Linked DNA regions of Drosophila melanogaster. Changing the gene in region 1 together with any one later gene gives a genetic interaction. Each region holds a gene or a part of one and is shown in the gene's direction. Other genes may lie near its edges.

Region 1 (4,305 bases):
GTCGGATGAATGGCACTCCAATACGCTCCTTGATCTGATCCTCAGTTTCGCGACTGAGTGGAGCTGCTCCACACAGCAGGACCATCAAAGAGGACAAATCGTACTTATCCACGATGGGGTGTTTAGCCAAAAAGACCATCAGTGGTGGCACCATGAAGGCCATCATCACGCGATACTTTTCAATGGCAGAAAGGAAGAGCTTTTCCTCGAACTTGGGCAGGTATACCAATCGTGCGCCAACGCAGGCGGTGGTGATAAGCGTCAGACAGCCGAAGGCGTGGAACCAGGGAATGACAGTGAGTAGAGTGACCTCCTCCATTGGAATGACAGTGGGTTGGCTATTAAAGAAAAATCATTTAAAAGAAACGCCTTTATAGCATATTATTAAACTTACATTTGTGAGTCGAGAGTGGCCAGCAGGTTCATTTGGGTCAGCTGCACTCCTTTAGGAAGTCCGGTGGTTCCAGAAGAGCACACAATAAGAGACACGTCCTCGTCCTTATTGGCCGCAGGGCTCGTGAAGTCAGGCTGTGTCTTGAACTTCTCGTCCTCCATCAGCTCCTTAAGATCATAGATGTTCTTAAATTTCTTGGAAGTTCCACTGAGCGCAATGATGCCCTTGACGAACTTATTCTTGCTGGCCACTTTGGCAACACGATCAATGGTAATCTTAGAGGCGAATATGATCTTTGGCTTGGACAAGTTAATGGCGTGGTCCACCTCACGATCGGAATATGTTACGTTAAGGGGAGCAACCGTAGCCCCAACTGCTAGACCAGCGAACATGGCCAGGGCGAAGTTGACGCTGTTTTCGCTAGACAAACCAACGACGTCATTCTGTTTGACTCCCAGTTTTTGAAGGATGTATGCCAGCCGTACAATGGACTTGTGCATGAAACTGGCAGAGTACTCCACTCCATTGACGGCATCCACCAGCACCGTCCGGTCGCCAAAGCTCTTGTACTTGTCGAGGATGTACTGACCCAAGGATCTGCTATCCTGGGCCTGTCGTTCAGTCACAGGACCTCCGTACACAATGTTTCCGGGCAGTAGCTTTGAAGTCATTTTGTGTCTGCAAAGAGAAAGAAACATGATAGTTTTGCATTTTATGATGAGCTATAATGGAAGATAACGAACTGTGGGTTATCTACCAAAAATTATACACGCCTTTGGGGAGTGTGAAGTTTTCCTCGAAAATATTAAAAGAAAAACGGTTCAGGGGTTGAAGTTATAGCAACCCTTCAAACCATACTTTGAACCCCCCGGACTATCTAATCGCATTCGGTTCGCAGATCTTTTACTTGTGCTGAACATGCCATCGATGTTAACAATGTTCCCGCTATCTGAGATAGTGGACTACAGAAAATCTGCATGTTTGCCAGTCCAGGTTCCAAAGGTCGCAGTTCACAGCGGTTGAAGTGGCTTCTTCCAGCTCCCCTGCGGTCTAACATTTAGGCTTTCAAGCGAACACTCGTTAAACCATGTAATGTTTATCTTTTATACCGCTAATATATTCAGTATCATTCAGATAAACTCGTCAATTTACTTATGTACATACGCTAAAGTTTTCTAGGTTACGATGCGAGCGGGAGCGGCTTGCGTGCGAAACTAACTGTTCGTCGGAGAATGGTAGGGCGGAATGTCAGGCTGCGTTTACGGAACGATTAGATTAGCTTATTTGATAACCCCGGCGTTGAAACTGCGCAGGCGCGAGTAGTGTCTCTGACTATTTTTCATTCAAAGTACACCAAAAGTGCAACAAAAAATGGGTCAGGGGATGGTGCTGCTCAAATTTGCAGGAAAAACAAGAGACAGCTGATTCAAATACTTATTCGATAAATTCTTATTGAACTGTCAGCTGACGGTCTGGCAACGCCGTGTGTTTATTTTCATTTAAACGCTCTACACTCCAAATTTTACGGTATATGGGCTTTAAAAATATATTATATTACCTAATTTTTAGAATATTATTAAAAACTAACAAAATTATTTAATTTTAATCCCTTTATTCACATTTAAGGACATCGATAAGAGTGGAAAAAGAGACTTGTTACAATGCAATGATATGGTTAATATATTATTTTATTTATTTACTTATATATTAAGGATTTTTTTTAATATCGTGCCAAAAATGATTTTAACAACTTTACTCTGATCAAATGTAGCGCATTCGTGTGTCGCTTCTGATCGATCTGATCCACTGACGATCTGATTCATGAATGCCTAACACGCATCGGAATGGAGTAATAGCGCAAATATAGGAAAAATGCCAGGGACCAGTACTTAGTTGTTGATATTCTTGGGCGTGGAACAGAGGTAAGTACTACTGACGCAGAGCTGCCTCAAGATAAACGTAATCAGCATGGAATTATCGTTCGCATGGCATTTTAAGAATCAATACATATCTCGCTTATAGGCACCATTAACTAAGGTGACGACGCCCTTCCTCAAGCAATACCATGTCAGTGTCCATTACAAAAAAGTTTTACAAGTTGGATATAAATCGAACGGAATGGGAGATCCCGGATATATACCAGGATCTGCAGCCCGTGGGATCGGGAGCTTACGGACAGGTGTCAAAGGCAGTTGTTCGTGGCACCAATATGCATGTGGCCATTAAAAAGCTTGCCAGGCCTTTTCAATCAGCTGTCCATGCAAAGAGGACGTACCGGGAGCTTCGACTTTTAAAGCATATGGATCATGAGAACGTAATCGGTCTGCTGGACATATTCCATCCACATCCCGCTAATGGATCGCTGGAGAACTTCCAACAGGTGTACTTGGTTACCCACTTGATGGACGCAGATCTGAACAACATCATACGGATGCAGCACTTGTCCGACGACCACGTCCAGTTTTTAGTCTACCAGATACTCCGTGGCTTGAAGTATATCCACAGCGCCGGAGTGATCCACCGTGATCTTAAGCCCTCAAACATTGCCGTCAACGAGGATTGCGAGCTGCGCATTCTAGACTTCGGGCTGGCCCGCCCAACGGAGAACGAGATGACAGGCTATGTGGCCACGCGTTGGTACCGGGCACCTGAAATAATGCTCAATTGGATGCACTACGACCAAACAGTGGACATCTGGTCGGTGGGCTGCATCATGGCCGAACTAATTACCAGACGAACCCTCTTCCCAGGCACCGACCATATTCACCAGCTAAACCTGATTATGGAGATGTTGGGCACGCCACCCGCCGAATTTTTGAAGAAGATCTCATCGGAAAGTGCACGTTCCTACATCCAGTCACTTCCGCCTATGAAGGGACGAAGTTTTAAAAATGTTTTTAAGAACGCCAATCCGCTGGCCATTGATTTGCTGGAAAAGATGTTGGAGCTAGATGCCGAAAAGCGGATCACAGCCGAGGAGGCTCTTTCCCATCCATATCTGGAGAAGTATGCGGAGCCCAGCGTCGAGCAGACCTCACCACCATACGATCACAGCTTCGAGGATATGGATTTGCCCGTAGACAAATGGAAGGAATTGATCTACAAGGAGGTCACCAACTTTAAGCCCCCACCATCGTATGCTCAGGTTCTAAAGGATGTAAAGTGAACACAAACCATCAAGAATTTAAAGTATTACATAGGCCAATTTATTTGTTATAGCCTTTATGTTCCAACCATGTCTTTTGTACTCAAATTTATCAATTCTTAGTGTTAACTTTTTATTTTGTTTTTTTGCTGCTTACTGCTTATTTAACAAAAAATTTGTTTTATAAAAACATCAAGTTATTCAACTAAAAACCTTATTTTTGTCACCTCTTGGGCAGGATCTTTGGGTCTATAGCATATGTGTGTATCTCCGGTCATACAGATGACTGAATCGAACAAGTTTAGTGTTCTGTCAGTCGAATGTGCACTGATAGATAAGGTGTTGAGAAAAGATAAGAGTTTAGCGGGTGACTAAATGCAAGCTCAGTTTTCTTTCTGTTTCCTTTCGTAGAAGACATATTTTTGCACATTTAATCCAGAATGCCGGAGTTCGTGAGAGTGGCAATTAACGAAAGCCTTTGGGAGTTCCCGGATATATACGAGTTCGTTCGTTTTCTGGGTGGCGGTTCCTTTGGCCAGGTGGCTAAGGTGAGACTACGAGGCACTGAAAATTACTTCGCTATGAAAAGGCTTATGCGCCCATTCGAGAGGGAGGAGGATGCTAAGGGTACCTATCGCGAGATCCGTCTGCTGAAGCACATGAATCATCGAAATGTTATCAGCCTGCTGAACGTCTTCCATCCACCAGCGCACAACATGATGGAATTTCAGCAGGTTTATTTGGTGACTCACCTGATGGACGCGGA
Region 2 (7,995 bases), 4.3 Mb from region 1:
GACCTCCTCTGGTCACACTGTCCATTTTTAATTTTTTGTAATAGTAGAGTTTTTTTTATAACATTTTATCCGTCTTTTATGCAATATATTTAATTATTATTAGTAAGAGGCAATCCCACACAAACATGCAATCAGTACTCACCCGCTCGTTATGCATTGGTAAGACAAACTGATGTGTGGACTTTGAGCCCCAGCCATTTAAATGTTTTCTATAAGCAAGATCCTAAACCAGATATTGATATTCAGCCCGCAGATCTTTAAATGCTCGTCAAATTGCCTCATTGTCGGCGCTTTCGGAGACGCACCAGATGCTGCAGAAGTCCTGCCGGGACTTTGCCAACAATGAGCTCAGTGGAAACGCAGCCAAGTTCGATCGGGAGCACCTGTATCCAGAGAAACAGATCCGCCAGATGGGCGAACTGGGCGTGATGGCAGTAGCGATTCCCGAGGAGCTGGGTAATTAATATTACGCCCACCTCAGCCCTCCTTATAGTATCTCATTGTATCTCTTTATTGTTAATCAGGCGGCACTGGACTGGATTATGTGGCCTACGCCATTGCCATGGAGGAAATCTCAAGGGGCTGTGCCTCTGCTGGCGTCATCATGTCGGTGAACAACTCCCTGTATCTGGGACCGCTTCTCTCTTTCGGAAACGATGCCCAGAAGAAGGACTACATCACACCGTTTACCACCGGCGAACGAGTGGGCTGCTTCGCGCTCTCTGAACCTGGAAACGGATCCGATGCTGGAGCTGCTTCCACCATAGCAACCGACAAGGGAGATCACTTCGTGCTGAATGGCACCAAGGCCTGGATCACAAATGCCTTCGAGGCGGAGGCAGCCATTGTGTTCGCCACCACCAACAAGCAGCTGAAGCACAAGGGCATCTCCGCATTCATTGTGCCCAAGGCTACCAAGGGCTTCTCGCTGGGCAAAAAGGAGGATAAGCTGGGCATCCGGGGATCTTCGACGTGCCAGCTAATTTTCGAGGACTGCGTGGTGCCCAAGGAGAACATGCTGGGCGAGCCGGGTTTCGGTTTCAAGATTGCCATGCAGACGCTGGACGCCGGCCGCATAGGAATCGCTGGCCAGGCGCTGGGCATTGGTCAGGCTGCCCTCGAATTGGCCGTGGACTACGCCCAGAAGCGACAGGCCTTCGGCAAGCCCATTGCCAAGCTCCAGTCCATCCAGCAAAAGATCGCGGACATGTCGTTGGCCATGGAGTCGGCACGTCTGCTCACCTGGCGCGCCGCCTGGCTGAAGGACCAAAAGCAGCCCTACACCAAAGAAGCTGCAATGGCCAAGCTGGCTGCCTCGGAGGCGGCCACCTTGTGCTCCCACCAGTGTATCCAGATCCTGGGCGGAATGGGCTACGTGACCGACATGGCGGCCGAGCGTCATTACAGGGACGCCCGCATCACTGAGATCTACGAGGGCACCTCCGAAATCCAGCGACTGGTGATCGCGGGCTCCATTCTAAAGGAATATGCTAGTTAAGATCAAAGTTATATATCCGTACTACTTGTGTCTCGTTTAATAAAGAACGTTTTTAATATACTATTTTGCTAGTTCTATTGAGTTGTATAATTGTTTATAATAGATAGAAATACATGAAAAAAACACCTACAACATTTTAATTCTTTAGAAAAAGTTAGCAAAACAATAAATCTTCGTTCAAAAAGTAAAGTAAAATAAGTGAAACTCTTGACTACTTTTTAGACGTTGCATATTTGTAAATTAATTAAAATAATGAACCTTAAGTGCTTTTAAAATATATTTATAAACAAAGCTTATTATTTTATATGCCTAATTATATTATATCTTTTAAACCAAATTTTAAATGACTCAAAAAAATGGGAACTTGGCGCCAAAACTGCAGCAAGGCTTTGTCGGTTAGCATATTTGTGTGGTATTTTTGTGACTTCATTCGGTATATTGCTGGTAGCTGTGCAGCGGTCACACAGCAAAAGCAAAAAGTTTCTTTATTTATTTGATAATTATTCGTTACGCGGTAATTAACGCGATGCAAGTGCAGCAGGAACGTGGTAATGAGAGTTTTTGCCACTGAGCTGCGCGTGTCGGCCGTCCAGAAAGTGCAGAAATCGCGTGAAGTGCGCGAAATCCGTCCAAGAGCAGAAAAGTGCCAAGAATAGCTGCGATGGAAACAGCGATGGATGTGGTGTGTGTAATGGATACGGCGGTGGGCGACCATCTGGAGGACCGCCAGTGTGCGCTGGAGGAGATCAAGCAGGCAGTGCAGTCGGCGGGCGCCAACTTTCAGCGGGTTCAGGTGCGCCAGCTTGGTTATACAATGGCATATGGGTGATTTGACTTACATCCCCCCCACTTGGCATCCTTGCAGTTCGAGCGCCTGGACTTCGGCGAGACGAATGTGCTGGAGACGTTTTACAACGCCGATGTGGCCATTATCGACCTGAGCATTCTCACCCAGCAGCGGCCGCTTTCCTATCACTACGGCGTTAGGGAGAGCTTCGGGATGAAGGAGAACATCCTCACCTACAACGACATCGATTCCAAGCAGACGCTCAGTCTCAAGGTGCGTTCGGAAGTGTTTACCTGGCCGGGCGTGCCTGGCAAACATCTGCGTTCGTGATCGGGAATCCGCTTCCGATAAGATAAATGCTATGACCAGCAACTGCGTGGACTCCTGGACTAGTTGTTCTTGCTGATCTTTCTACAGTCGAGCTTCCACAACGCGAACTGAGTTTATAACAAGTCTCTAACCTAGGTGCTTAGACACCTCTTTCTGGAAAATGACTAAAAATTATTCTATCTACTAGTCTTCCTTTAGCAAATTGCAAAAGAAACCGAAAAACTTCCTCTTTCCAGAGGTTAATAACTAAAACCTCTTTCCCATATGGCAGCCAATAATTTGAACTATGGAAGTTCGACTGTATTTCCGTCGAATCGTTTTCGTTATTTTTGTTTTGGCTGCGGCCATAAAGCAACAAAAGCATTGGCCCAGCAATAACAATAACAAATGCGAGCACGCCCACGCAAACACTCAAAGAGGCACGCACACACTAACAGCACGGTGTACACCAACGCAGCGTGGCCTGCATTCACAGTGGCGGTCATTAAATTAGGTACACTCTACTCCCCTTGCAGCTCTCGTGTGCCAACTACCTGTTTCTCAGCTACAAGCGGAATGCGGAGACCAATTCCTGCCACCTGACCAGCCAGCCCAACAGCGGCAACAACAGCAAGGAACCCAATGCCGAAGGACGAGTGCCCACTTTGCAGTGGCGCCTCAAGCGAAAGCTGCAAGATGTTGAGATCCAGTCGAAGTGAGTACAATCTAGGGAGTCCCCTTTTGCAGTAAGTCATGCACGGTGATTGCATATCGGAACACTATTTATAACATCCCCTGCGGCAGATTGGCTGCAAAAGTCACGCCCTGCATCTAAAATGAATCAGACCGATTTATTGTGTTGGCCTTGGAATTGCATATAAAATATCAATAATCGCTGAAAATTCTTAAGTCTCTTTATAGTATCATAATTGTCCTTTCAATTTAAATTACTTCGAACTTTAGTGATACTACTACGGGTTAACAAGTAATGAAATGAAAGTAATTGAAATCTTAAATTTGGTGTACCAGATAGATGCTAAGTTAATTAGTCTTTCAGCCAGAGCACGAAACACTGTTCCTATTATGCATTATTTGTGTACCTAAAAACTAAACGAAGCTATTTTCGGTTATTTACAGAGCCCACATGCGTGAGAAATTTCTGAGTGACATGCGAACGGCGCGGGACACGTACGCCACCAACGGCGCCAAGCTGCAGAGTATATTGCACGAGATGCGAAAGCGGCTGGACGATCCGCATGTCCTGTCTGGCGAAGTGGTACACAGTTTCATGTGCTCGCTGAGGGATGTGCAGGACTACGATGCCATGGTGCGACTGGTCAATGACCTGAAGAACATACCCAACACCCGGAAGTACGTGGAGACGGGCAACATGAGTTTCCTGTACGCCTTCGCCCTGAACCGAAGAAATCGAAAGGGAGACCGTGAAAAGGCTCTGGAATCTTCGCTGAAGGCGCTGGAAAAGAAGGAGAACCACTTTCCGGACATGCTCTGCCTGTGCGGCCGCATCTACAAGGACATCTTTGTGGAATCCGACTACACGGACGCCACCAGTTTGGCGCACGCCATCAAGTGGTACCGCCAAAGCTTTGAGGTGCAGCCGAATGAGTATGCAGGCATCAATCTGGCTACTCTGCTGGTTATCGAGGGCAAGGAGTTTACCAATACGGAGGAGTTGCAGCACATCGGCATGACCTTAAACAATTTAATCGGTAAAAAGGGCAGCCTATCCTCGCTGAGTGAGTATTGGGATGTGGCCACCTTCTTTGAGATCTCCGTTTTGGCCAACGACTACGCCAAGGCGATTCAAGCTGCCGAGTGCATGTTCAAGCTAAAGCCACCCAACTGGTATCTGAAGTCGACCATCGGAAATATCTCTCTTATACATCGATTTCGAAAGAAGCCCGAGGAACGCCAGCCGCCCATCGAGGAGCAGGTGTTCCAGTTCTGGATGGACTTCTTTCTGGAGGCCACCAACACCGAGGAGGTTAAGAACAGCATTCGCTTTCCGATTCTGGTTGGTACCCCTGATCTGCAGTTTAAGCTTTATTATTAACTCAAAACAAATTCCAGATCCTCGAGCCTCAGAAGATTTATATGCCCAGTTATGTGACTATAAACATGGATGCGGATGAGAAGTCCATTCAGATTGTGAACATCTGTTTGGCTCACGCAAAGAATGCGTGTAAGAAAATCCACGACTTCCTTTTCGTGGCATCGAAGATCAAGTCCGTCAGCCTTTACAAGAGGGATGATCGTTGTGCCTACTTGTACGTCCATCACAACTCAGATGATTTTCAAATATATTTTCCCTCCACTGAACGACGACAAAAGTTCTACGATATGATCCTGGAGATGACTGCAGATCAGGTGGTGTTTGTCAATCTCAGCAATGATGACGCTAATATCGAGGTAAGTTATTTATTATTCATATATACATATATTCCGGCCACTTTTGCTAATTATTATTAATTGTAGTACGAGTACGACTACGATGAGCAGAATCGCAAAATGGTGCTGGGCAAAGGTACTTATGGCACCGTGTACGCCGCCAGGGACAAGCAGACGCAGGTGCGAATCGCCATTAAGGAGGTGCCGGAAAAGAACTCGCAGGATGTGCAGCCACTGCACGAGGAGATTAAGTTACACTCTCAGCTGCGACATCGCAACATAGTTCGCTATTTGGGATCGTGCTCGGAGAACGGCTTCTTCAAGATCTTCATGGAGCAGGTGCCGGGAGGATCGCTTTCCGACCTCTTAGAGACCAAATGGGGTCCGCTCAAGGACAACGAGTCCACCATGGCCTTCTACTCCAAGCAGATCCTCGAGGGGCTGAAGTACCTTCACGAGCAGGACATTGTTCATCGCGATATAAAGGGTGACAACGTGCTGGTTAACACGTATAGCGGCGTGGTTAAGATCTCCGATTTCGGCACCTCCAAGCGGCTGGCCCGCATCAACCCGATGACGGAGACCTTTACGGGCACCTTGCAGTACATGGCGCCGGAGGTGATTGACCAGGGAGTACGCGGCTATGGCCCGGCGGCTGACATCTGGTCCTTTGGATGCACAAACGTTGAGATGGCTACGGGCAAACCACCGTTTATCGAGCTGGGTAGCGCCCATGCGGCCATGTTCAAGGTGGGCTTTTACAAGAAGCATCCGAACATACCCGAGGAGCTGTCCGCCAACGCAAAGAACTTTATTTTGCGTTGCTTTGCCATCAGCGTGATGGACCGACCCTCCGCCTCGCAACTTCTGGAAGATCCCTTCCTACAAGAGTGAGTTTGCTTAATTGTTTTGCCTAATTCCTTTCTAATTGCACTTTTAATTTTCTCAATAAGTAAACCCCGCAAGGTGCGCCCAGCCCTGCCCATCAATACTGAGTTCGGACGCAGCATTTCGGTGCCGGCTGATCGGTTTGTGCACAAAACCACACCGCCGCTGAGCTACAACACAACCTGCAATACGCCCACAACGCCGGAATTGGAGTAAGTTAAACGCTGCGACTATTCTTATCATGTTCGACCTTCCTCAATTACAAGCAGAGGTTATCTTATCTGTTGAAAATTATCATTTATATTTTGCTAATTTTAATGAATATAAAAATTTTTCCGTGCTTCTCTATATTTTCCCATATCGTCTACTATTATAAGAGTAACAAGTGCCTTTGCTTATCGTGTAGTTAACACATTGATTGTTGCTATCAGTAAAGTGCATATTTAATGATTGGAAAATGCGCACTCGGATTTTGATACTGAGAAGAGATAGCACTTGATGTATTGTAAAATAAACGTAATTTTATATTGTACTTTCTGTTTCCTATTTCAGCATAACGCATTCATCCTCGGTGGACATTGACGAGCTGCCCAGCAACCAGTTTATGCTTGAACGGCGAAATTCCCATGGATTTTTGCTCTCGCCAGAGATTGAACCTTCCACGCCGTCCTTGCGTACGAGCATTAGTGAGACGAGCGAGACTGACGGTTTTTACAGGCTTAAAAAGGATTCGCAGAGGCGGACAACGCTTTCCAAGGTGCTGGCACTAGACGAATCCAAGATCTGCGATATTTGGCTGAAGAAGGTCGACGCTGATCAGAACTCGATTGCGATTAGGAAAAGCGATTTGGAGGTTCTAATCCGAGGACTGCGGGACTACATTATGAACGAAAACGAAAAGCATTTGGAAGCGACTATCAACGAACTGAAACAAAAGCTGAACAACGACGCAGTTGCTCTGGACCATCTTCATTTGGCGCTGTACTCCTTTCAGGACGCCGTGGTCTGCGTACTGCGGTACCATTGCATCAAACCCCATTGGATGTTCGCATTGGATAATCTGGTTAAGCGGGCCGTCCAGGCGGCGGTCACTATTTTCTCTCCTGAACTGGGCGCCAATCTGGCGGACAAAGACCTGTCTGGAAATGATGATGAGAGCTTGCGTACAAGTCTAATGCAGAAGGGTTCCACCGAGAGCCAGGAAAAGCAGAGCCTGGAAAAAGTTCTTCCCACGAGCAACACTCGCGAAGGTGTGGGATTAACGCCTGCGGAATCGGGCGGGGATGCTCTGTCCAGTTCGATGGAGTGCGCGCGCATCCTGAGAGACATCCGTGACAATCAGCAGAAGCTGCAACGCCAGCTCCTTGAGCAGCAGCGGCAGAGCATGAGGGCCCTGCATAATATCAGTCAGGAGCTGGCTCACATTTACATGGGCGGCAGAAAGAGATTAAGGTTGGTAAACCAAGTAGGACATTGTAAATTTTATTATAATTCACAATTTCATCTTAACAGACGCACAATAAACGGCTTTAACAAAAAGTGCCATAGAATGAGTACCAGTGTGGGCGGAACGTCCGGAGTCCGTCCGAATATAGCGGGCAATCCCCGGAGGCAGCTAAACAAGCATCACTTTGGTCTTCACGAAGTAGACGAGCAGTTGGAGCAGTGGTTGACCCAGCAGGAAATAGACGAGTTCTCAAAGACGCTCATCCTGAATGAAGGTTTTACATTTGACGACTTTATCTATAACATGGAAAAGCTGGACCTCATGAGGCTGGGTCTGCGGTGCGTTAAAGCTTATAAGAAAAGTACACTTAATCCATGCTCAACTAACTTTTGGTATTTTGCAGCGTTGGCATCGAAGTGCGTTTGTGGAAACTCATTATACAAGAACGTGTGTGCACCTCGTCCGATTGTGTGGACAGTCCACCAAGCACTTACCACAAACCCATTGGAGGCAATAGCTCTTTTGCGCTTATTGACAACAACAATACGCTACCATCACCCACAACCACAACTCCCGGAACGCCGGGCATCAAAACGAAAATCAAGAAAAGCGAAAGCGAGTACGATTCGTGCAGCGAGTGACTGGAGTTGAAAGCTT
Region 3 (6,349 bases), on another chromosome or scaffold:
GCGAAACTCTTCCATTAGACTTTCTATCTTGTCGTCCAGATCGGGCCGATGCGACTCATTGTCTGTGTCGTTTTCGTTGTCGGAGTTTGGCGACTCCGAATTGGCTGCTTCAGAATTCACGTCCTCGGGCTCCTCGGCCTCCAGAATGGGAACCAACTGTTTTTGCTGACGCATAGCCTCTGTTGAGCTGAGACACTCCTCGCACTCCTGCTTGAGGAAGAGCCACTCCTCGATCTGCTCCTTCTCCACTTCAGTAATTAGCTTGGAGTCTATCAGCCTATAAATTTCTTTTGTCGTCAAAAGGCCCACATCGGAAATAATGTGTACACTTACTTGGAAAATAGCCCCTCGGCGTTGGTAACTAGTTTGGACCATTGGCTTGCTGCGAATTGTAGGCCAAAGTTGTCCCCTGGTCCCGCCTGCGACAAGGGTCCAGCAGAGGAATTGGATTCGGGAACAGGCTCAGCCGGCTGAACGATCATCGTGTTGTCGTCGGAGTAGGTGTTCATAATTACAAAATTACGTACGCACTGCACCTTAAAGGCGAACTGCAGGTTGCCAAGAGTTTCGGGCAAGTGCTCTTCCAGCGGTGACACGCACAGGATCACGAGCGTCTGAGCCCGTCCGCCGAACGAGTCCTTCAGGAGAGTGGTGAGCGTGGTCTGACCGTACGGAATGTTGCCATTAACCCCGTACATGAGGCCTGGATCTGTGAGAGTACTGATCACCTGCTCCAGCATACACAGGCCAGCATCGAGAGGACGTCCCGGTGGCTGGTCTCCACATCTCTCTGTGCCGCAGAGATCCGAGAAACTGGCCGTGGACAAGCGGTGCTGCAACAGCCCCTCCTTGGACACCCACTGCTGCTCCAGGGTAAGCGTGAACAGGGTGTGCGCCGGCAACGATTGGCGGGCCGACAGACCCACCTGCAACCAGTGGAAGACGGCATCTACGTTGGTGCAGTGTATGTTTCCCATGCCCAACAAGTCGCAGACATCACCTCCGCAAATTTCCACGAATCCCACGTTGATGGCATAGGTGCGTTCTTAAAGTGAAAATGGAAATGGATAACTATGCTTATAAGATCCTTTTAGTAAACTCACCTGGGTGCAACGATATGTGTGAGAAAATGTCACGGACACAAAGTTGGACGACTCCTTCGGTGGAATCCGTCAGAGTAGGGTCCTGGACGTTTCCGTAGAGTGTGTAGCTTTTGCCCTGGCCCCTCTGGCCATAGGTGACTACAGATGCGTCGAAACCTTCCAGGAACAGGGTGATGAGCGGAAAGACCGTCTGGTGGTACACTTGCTCCTGGGAGCTGCTGCTGGGCAGGGCGTGGGTGACCGGAACCGTGTGGGGACCGACTTGTATCAGTCCAGCTGCAATGCTGTCCATGGGATCTCCGCCTGGCAGGGCACTGGGCAATCCCAGGGCCGAAGCGCTGATGGGAATAGCCTGAACGCAATATGCGGAGTCTGGGTAATCCTTCTGACCACTGTCGTTGCCATTGGCATCTGGAATTGTCTTCGAATCGGCCGCACTGTCCTGCTCAGCATTCCCGTTTGGGTCCGTCTCTGAAATTGACGGATTGTCCTTCTCAGCCGCCGGAACTTGAGCCTCGGAGTCCTTGGAGTCCGCCCCCTCATCCACCGCCTGCGCATCCTTTTTGGGCTCTGTGGGGCCGAAGCTCCTCAACAAGTCCTTGAGCTCTCTATGCGGGAAGATGCGCACCGCTACCTGAATGGGTATTTCCATGGTGGTTAGGCAACTAGTCCTGGTCTCGCAGGAGCTCTTTCATTCGATATCCTGCTCTTTGTTTCGCATCTTTGCGCTTTCAAATACGTGCAAAAATTCAACTCCCTCCGAATCGATACAATGTGATAGTGTGGCCGACGCTAAAGCGCCAACCCAAGCCGAAAATACCGAATCCATGTAACAGTTTGTTACTGTAAAAATCAAAATCAGTTTCCAATCAAATTGCTGTCAAATGTCAATTTTAAGACTGTGAGCTCACAACTATTCTTCAAACTGGTGAGTAAAACCGAATTCTATAGATAGATTCTCGTCAAAAGACTTAAGCTTGAACTGCTGTTTTTTTTTAAATGCCAAATTGCTGCCGTGCTGTTGGTTGTGATCTTCGCTAACCATGGGCTTATATAGTATACACAGACAGTAAACTTTGGTATTTTAAAAGTTGCGATCAGCATGGTCGGTATATGCTAAAGGTCTCACTGAGCGCGTGTTTTTTTTTGTGCTAAACGCTTCGTTTTGAGAATTAAGTGCAGTAATCACCATAAATTAGCATGTCCAAGCGTCGAATCGAAGTGGGGGAGACCTACGGCAGCAAGGCGAAGAAGTAAGTGACCCGAGGCCAACATACGGCAGTAATGTAACGCTCCTTTCTCACCAGGGACCCGGAGGCGTCCTCCTCGTCGGCGGCAGCCGCTGCCGGCACAGTGGCTCAAATCCTGGGCGGATTCGTGCCCAACAAGCAACCGCCCACGATGAACCCGCTGACCAACACGCCGTACTCACAACGGTACCAGAATCTCTACAAGAAGCGCATTGCGCTGCCCGTGTTCGAGTACCAGGCGGACTTTATGCGGCTGCTCAGCCTGCACCAGTGTATTGTGCTGGTGGGCGAGACTGGCTCCGGCAAGACGACCCAGATCCCGCAGTGGTGCGTGGACTTCGCAGTATCCAAGGGGCGCAAGGGAGTCTCCTGCACACAGCCACGTCGAGTTGCCGCCATGTCCGTGGCCCAGCGCGTTTCGGAGGAGATGGACGTAAAACTGGGCGAAGAGGTCGGCTACTCCATCCGTTTCGAGGACTGCTCCACGGCCAAGACGCTGCTCAAGTACATGACCGATGGTATGTTGTTGCGCGAGGCCATGTCTGATCCCATGCTGGACCAGTACCAGGTCATTCTGCTTGACGAGGCTCACGAGCGGACCTTGGCCACTGACATTCTAATGGGCGTGCTCAAGGAGGTCATTCGTCAGCGCAGCGACCTTAAGCTGGTGGTCATGTCCGCCACACTGGACGCCGGCAAGTTCCAGCAGTATTTCGACAACGCACCGCTCATGAAAGTGCCCGGTCGCACACATCCCGTGGAGATCTTCTACACGCCCGAACCAGAAAGAGATTACCTAGAGGCTGCTATTCGCACGGTAATCCAGATACACATGTGCGAGGAAATTGAGGGTAAGTTGGTAAATGAGTTTAGCTTGGAGTTCATTTAATAGCTTGCTAGTTCATTGTTCTAAGAAGCATTTATCGATCATATGTTTACAATGTAAAAGTGCCAGGCAAAATATAAACTTTCCGAGTGCCGAAGGGCGGCAAATGCTTCGTATTTGCTTTAATGGTATTGTAATCATTCAAGTGTTTACGACTTTTGAATATGATCCTATTCAATGCCGGAAAAGACGCATTCGCTTTTTCCATTGTAAACTAAACCCCAACTTGATTTTGCTACTCTAGGTGATATCCTAATGTTCCTCACGGGCCAGGAGGAGATTGAGGAGGCTTGCAAGCGCATCAAGCGCGAGATCGACAATTTGGGCTCAGAAATTGGAGAGCTGAAATGCATTCCCCTGTACTCGACGCTGCCGCCCAATTTGCAGCAGCGCATCTTCGAACCGGCCCCGCCGCCAAATGCTAATGGCGCAATTGGACGCAAGGTCGTGGTGTCCACCAACATTGCCGAAACCTCGCTGACCATTGACGGAGTGGTGTTCGTGATTGATCCAGGCTTCGCCAAGCAAAAGGTGTACAATCCTCGCATTCGAGTGGAGAGTCTGCTCGTCTCACCCATTTCAAAAGCGTCTGCGCAGCAGAGATCCGGTCGTGCTGGACGTACGCGTCCTGGCAAGTGTTTCCGTCTGTACACGGAAAAGGCGTTTAAAAACGAGATGCAGGACAACACCTACCCCGAAATTCTGCGCTCCAATTTGGGTAATGCCTAGATCCCCTGGAAGTATTACTCGATTTCTAATATCTTGTTTCTTATTTTTGAGCAGGCACTGTGGTTCTGCAGCTCAAGAAGTTGGGCATCGATGATCTGGTGCATTTCGATTTTATGGACCCCCCTGCTCCAGAGACCTTGATGCGTGCCCTGGAGTTGCTCAACTATCTGGCCGCCCTGGATGATGACGGAAATCTTACAGACCTGGGTGCCGTTATGTCCGAGTTTCCATTGGATCCGCAGCTGGCCAAAATGCTGATTGCCAGCTGCCAACATAACTGCTCTAATGAAATACTTTCCATAACGGCCATGTTGTCGGGTGAGATAAAACACAAATCTAAGAAACTGTCTTCGATAAGTTGGGGGTCGCACTTATACTTTCATGGCTGTCACTTTTCGTTTTTCAAATACGTAAATACGACTTGTACCTAATTTCGATTTGTGCCGATGCATACTTTCATTTATTTCCGTTAAAGTGGCTGCCGTGAATACTTTCTACGTTATAAATTGAAAGTCTGAGGTTTCGGGGAAGTATATTCTATATTCTTGAAGGGATTTATGTAATTTCTTAAGCAACAATGCAAAGGAAAAAGTTTTTCAATTTATTTGTTCTTTGCATTCAACTCGAAAAGAAAAGTTGCACATGCGTTTAAAAGTCCAAGCCCATTATTTGAATGGATTGATGTGCAAAATATGCCCGAATAAATAGTGTTTTTATCTTTTAATGTTCCGCGAACGCACTTGCAACTCACAAATGCAATCAATCTTTGAATCAAGCCTCTAGATTGCCTAGCTGACAAAATGAAAGCACAATCTATTTGTTTATGTTAAAAATTGTTTTGAACTTGCGCTTAATCGAAACTAAACCAATTCAAACGTGCCAAAGTTCCACAATGCTTCGTTCGCCCCAACGAGGCGAAGAAAGCTGCCGATGAGGCCAAGATGCGATTCGCCCACATTGACGGAGACCACCTGACGTTGCTTAATGTCTATCACGCCTTTAAGCAGAGTAAGTAAACTAAACCAACCTATACTCGAAATGGAAACATAAAGACATATTTCTTTATTTCTTTCAGGCAGTGAGGATCCAAACTGGTGCTACGAGAACTTCATAAACTTCCGCTCGCTAAAGAGTGCGGATAACGTGCGCCAGCAGCTGGCTAGAATCATGGACCGCTTCAACTTGCGGCGCACGAGCACTGAATTCACCTCGAAGGACTACTATGTAAACATCCGAAAGGCCCTCGTGCAGGGCTTCTTCATGCAGGTGGCCCACCTGGAGCGCACTGGCTACTATCTGACCATCAAGGACAACCAGAACGTGCAGCTGCATCCGTCGACTTGTCTCGACCACAAGCCCGATTGGGTCATCTACAATGAGTTCGTGCTGACTACAAAGAACTACATTCGCACGGTGACAGATGTCAAACGTGAGTAGCAACTTCCGCATTTCAGGGTCATTTTTGTAAGCATTTCTTACATTTATAGCTGAATGGTTGTGCTGCCTGGCGCCCCAATATTATGACTTGAACAACTTCCCCCAGTGCGAGGCGAAACGACAGCTGGAGTTGTTGCAACAGCGGTTGGAGACCAAGCAGTACCAGAAGGGTTTCTAAGTCCCCCCAGAGTATGGCTAGTTGTAATATGATGGAGAATGGATCATGGATAAGAGTGTGTGAATTTTAGCAAGTTCTAAGAAAAATAACCCGTTTGCTTTTTATTGTTTGCTAACTTGATTCAAGCACATAGACACTTTAACAGATCAATAATATCCAAGAACTCCGTTTAGTTAATAGTGTTAATAAAAAACAAGCCACTTTTTGTATAACTTTAGCCATTGGTCCGTTGAAACTGAATGAGAATCACGAGATAGGTGGCTATGGCGGATGCAAACTGCAACCAGATAGCATTAGAATAATACATGGATATTATTTAAGTGTAGTCTAAATCCTTACCGATGTCAGAATGGTGCGGTTCACGCGGCACAATCCGCAGGCGGAGAAGTCAGCATCTACGACGAGTAACTGCTGCCAAAACTTCTTAACTGCCTCCGCGAGAATGGGCTCGTGCACTTTCCGCTCGATTTCGCAAACAATCTGGATCGTTTTACGGGACTCTCGGGCAGCCAAGTGGCACGGCTCCACCACCATGAGCAGTCGCAGGAAGTGAAAGCAAATCCAGAGCATCTGCACCCACAGGTAGCCGTTATCCCGCTTGCTGAGCAGTTCCAGAAAGAGGAAGTAGGCCGTAGCCACGAGGTGCAGCAGACAGGACACCAGGATGAAGAGAACCGCAATGCCGAAGGAGCTGTCAAGTGCGGGAAGGTAAGAAGCACGAAAACATGGGATGTGGAATAACTTTACTTGGACAGGAGGTGGACAC

The links.
Region 2: of p38a (region 1) and Ask1, changing one suppresses a phenotype caused by changing the other (phenotypic suppression), as found in Drosophila melanogaster (one study listed by BioGRID).
Region 3: of p38a (region 1) and Dhx15, changing one suppresses a phenotype caused by changing the other (phenotypic suppression), as found in Drosophila melanogaster (one study listed by BioGRID).

Annotation. Positions count from the first base shown.
Region 1 is NT_033777.3:24,149,857-24,154,161, reverse strand, and holds p38a (p38a MAP kinase), read left to right. Parts: upstream 1-1,840; 5' UTR 1,841-1,921; intron 1,922-2,020; 5' UTR 2,021-2,068; intron 2,069-2,165; 5' UTR 2,166-2,316; intron 2,317-2,392; 5' UTR 2,393-2,459; coding exon 2,460-3,560; 3' UTR 3,561-3,746; downstream 3,747-4,305. Other genes in the region: CG6178 (uncharacterized protein), read right to left, coding at 1-338, 395-1,065; p38c MAP kinase, read left to right, coding at 3,980-4,305.
Region 2 is NT_033777.3:19,877,753-19,885,747, forward strand, and holds the start of Ask1 (apoptotic signal-regulating kinase 1), read left to right. Parts: upstream 1-1,966; 5' UTR 1,967-2,171; coding exon 2,172-2,291; intron 2,292-2,363; coding exon 2,364-2,558; exon of another isoform or gene 2,559-3,130; coding exon 3,131-3,309; intron 3,310-3,731; coding exon 3,732-4,629; intron 4,630-4,685; coding exon 4,686-5,024; intron 5,025-5,090; coding exon 5,091-5,893; intron 5,894-5,956; coding exon 5,957-6,103; intron 6,104-6,443; coding exon 6,444-7,343; intron 7,344-7,403; coding exon 7,404-7,676; intron 7,677-7,741; coding exon 7,742-7,979; 3' UTR 7,980-7,995. Other genes in the region: Arc42 (Activator-recruited cofactor subunit 42), read left to right, coding at 126-159, 247-456, 525-1,498.
Region 3 is NT_033778.4:7,385,225-7,391,573, forward strand, and holds Dhx15 (DEAH-box helicase 15), read left to right. Parts: upstream 1-1,962; 5' UTR 1,963-2,303; coding exon 2,304-2,356; intron 2,357-2,410; coding exon 2,411-3,204; intron 3,205-3,483; coding exon 3,484-3,957; intron 3,958-4,022; coding exon 4,023-4,286; intron 4,287-4,853; coding exon 4,854-4,976; intron 4,977-5,043; coding exon 5,044-5,397; intron 5,398-5,455; coding exon 5,456-5,583; 3' UTR 5,584-5,797; downstream 5,798-6,349. Other genes in the region: cos (costa), read right to left, coding at 1-277, 334-1,045, 1,104-1,755; Gr43a (gustatory receptor 43a), read right to left, coding at 5,798-5,860, 5,923-6,274, 6,331-6,349.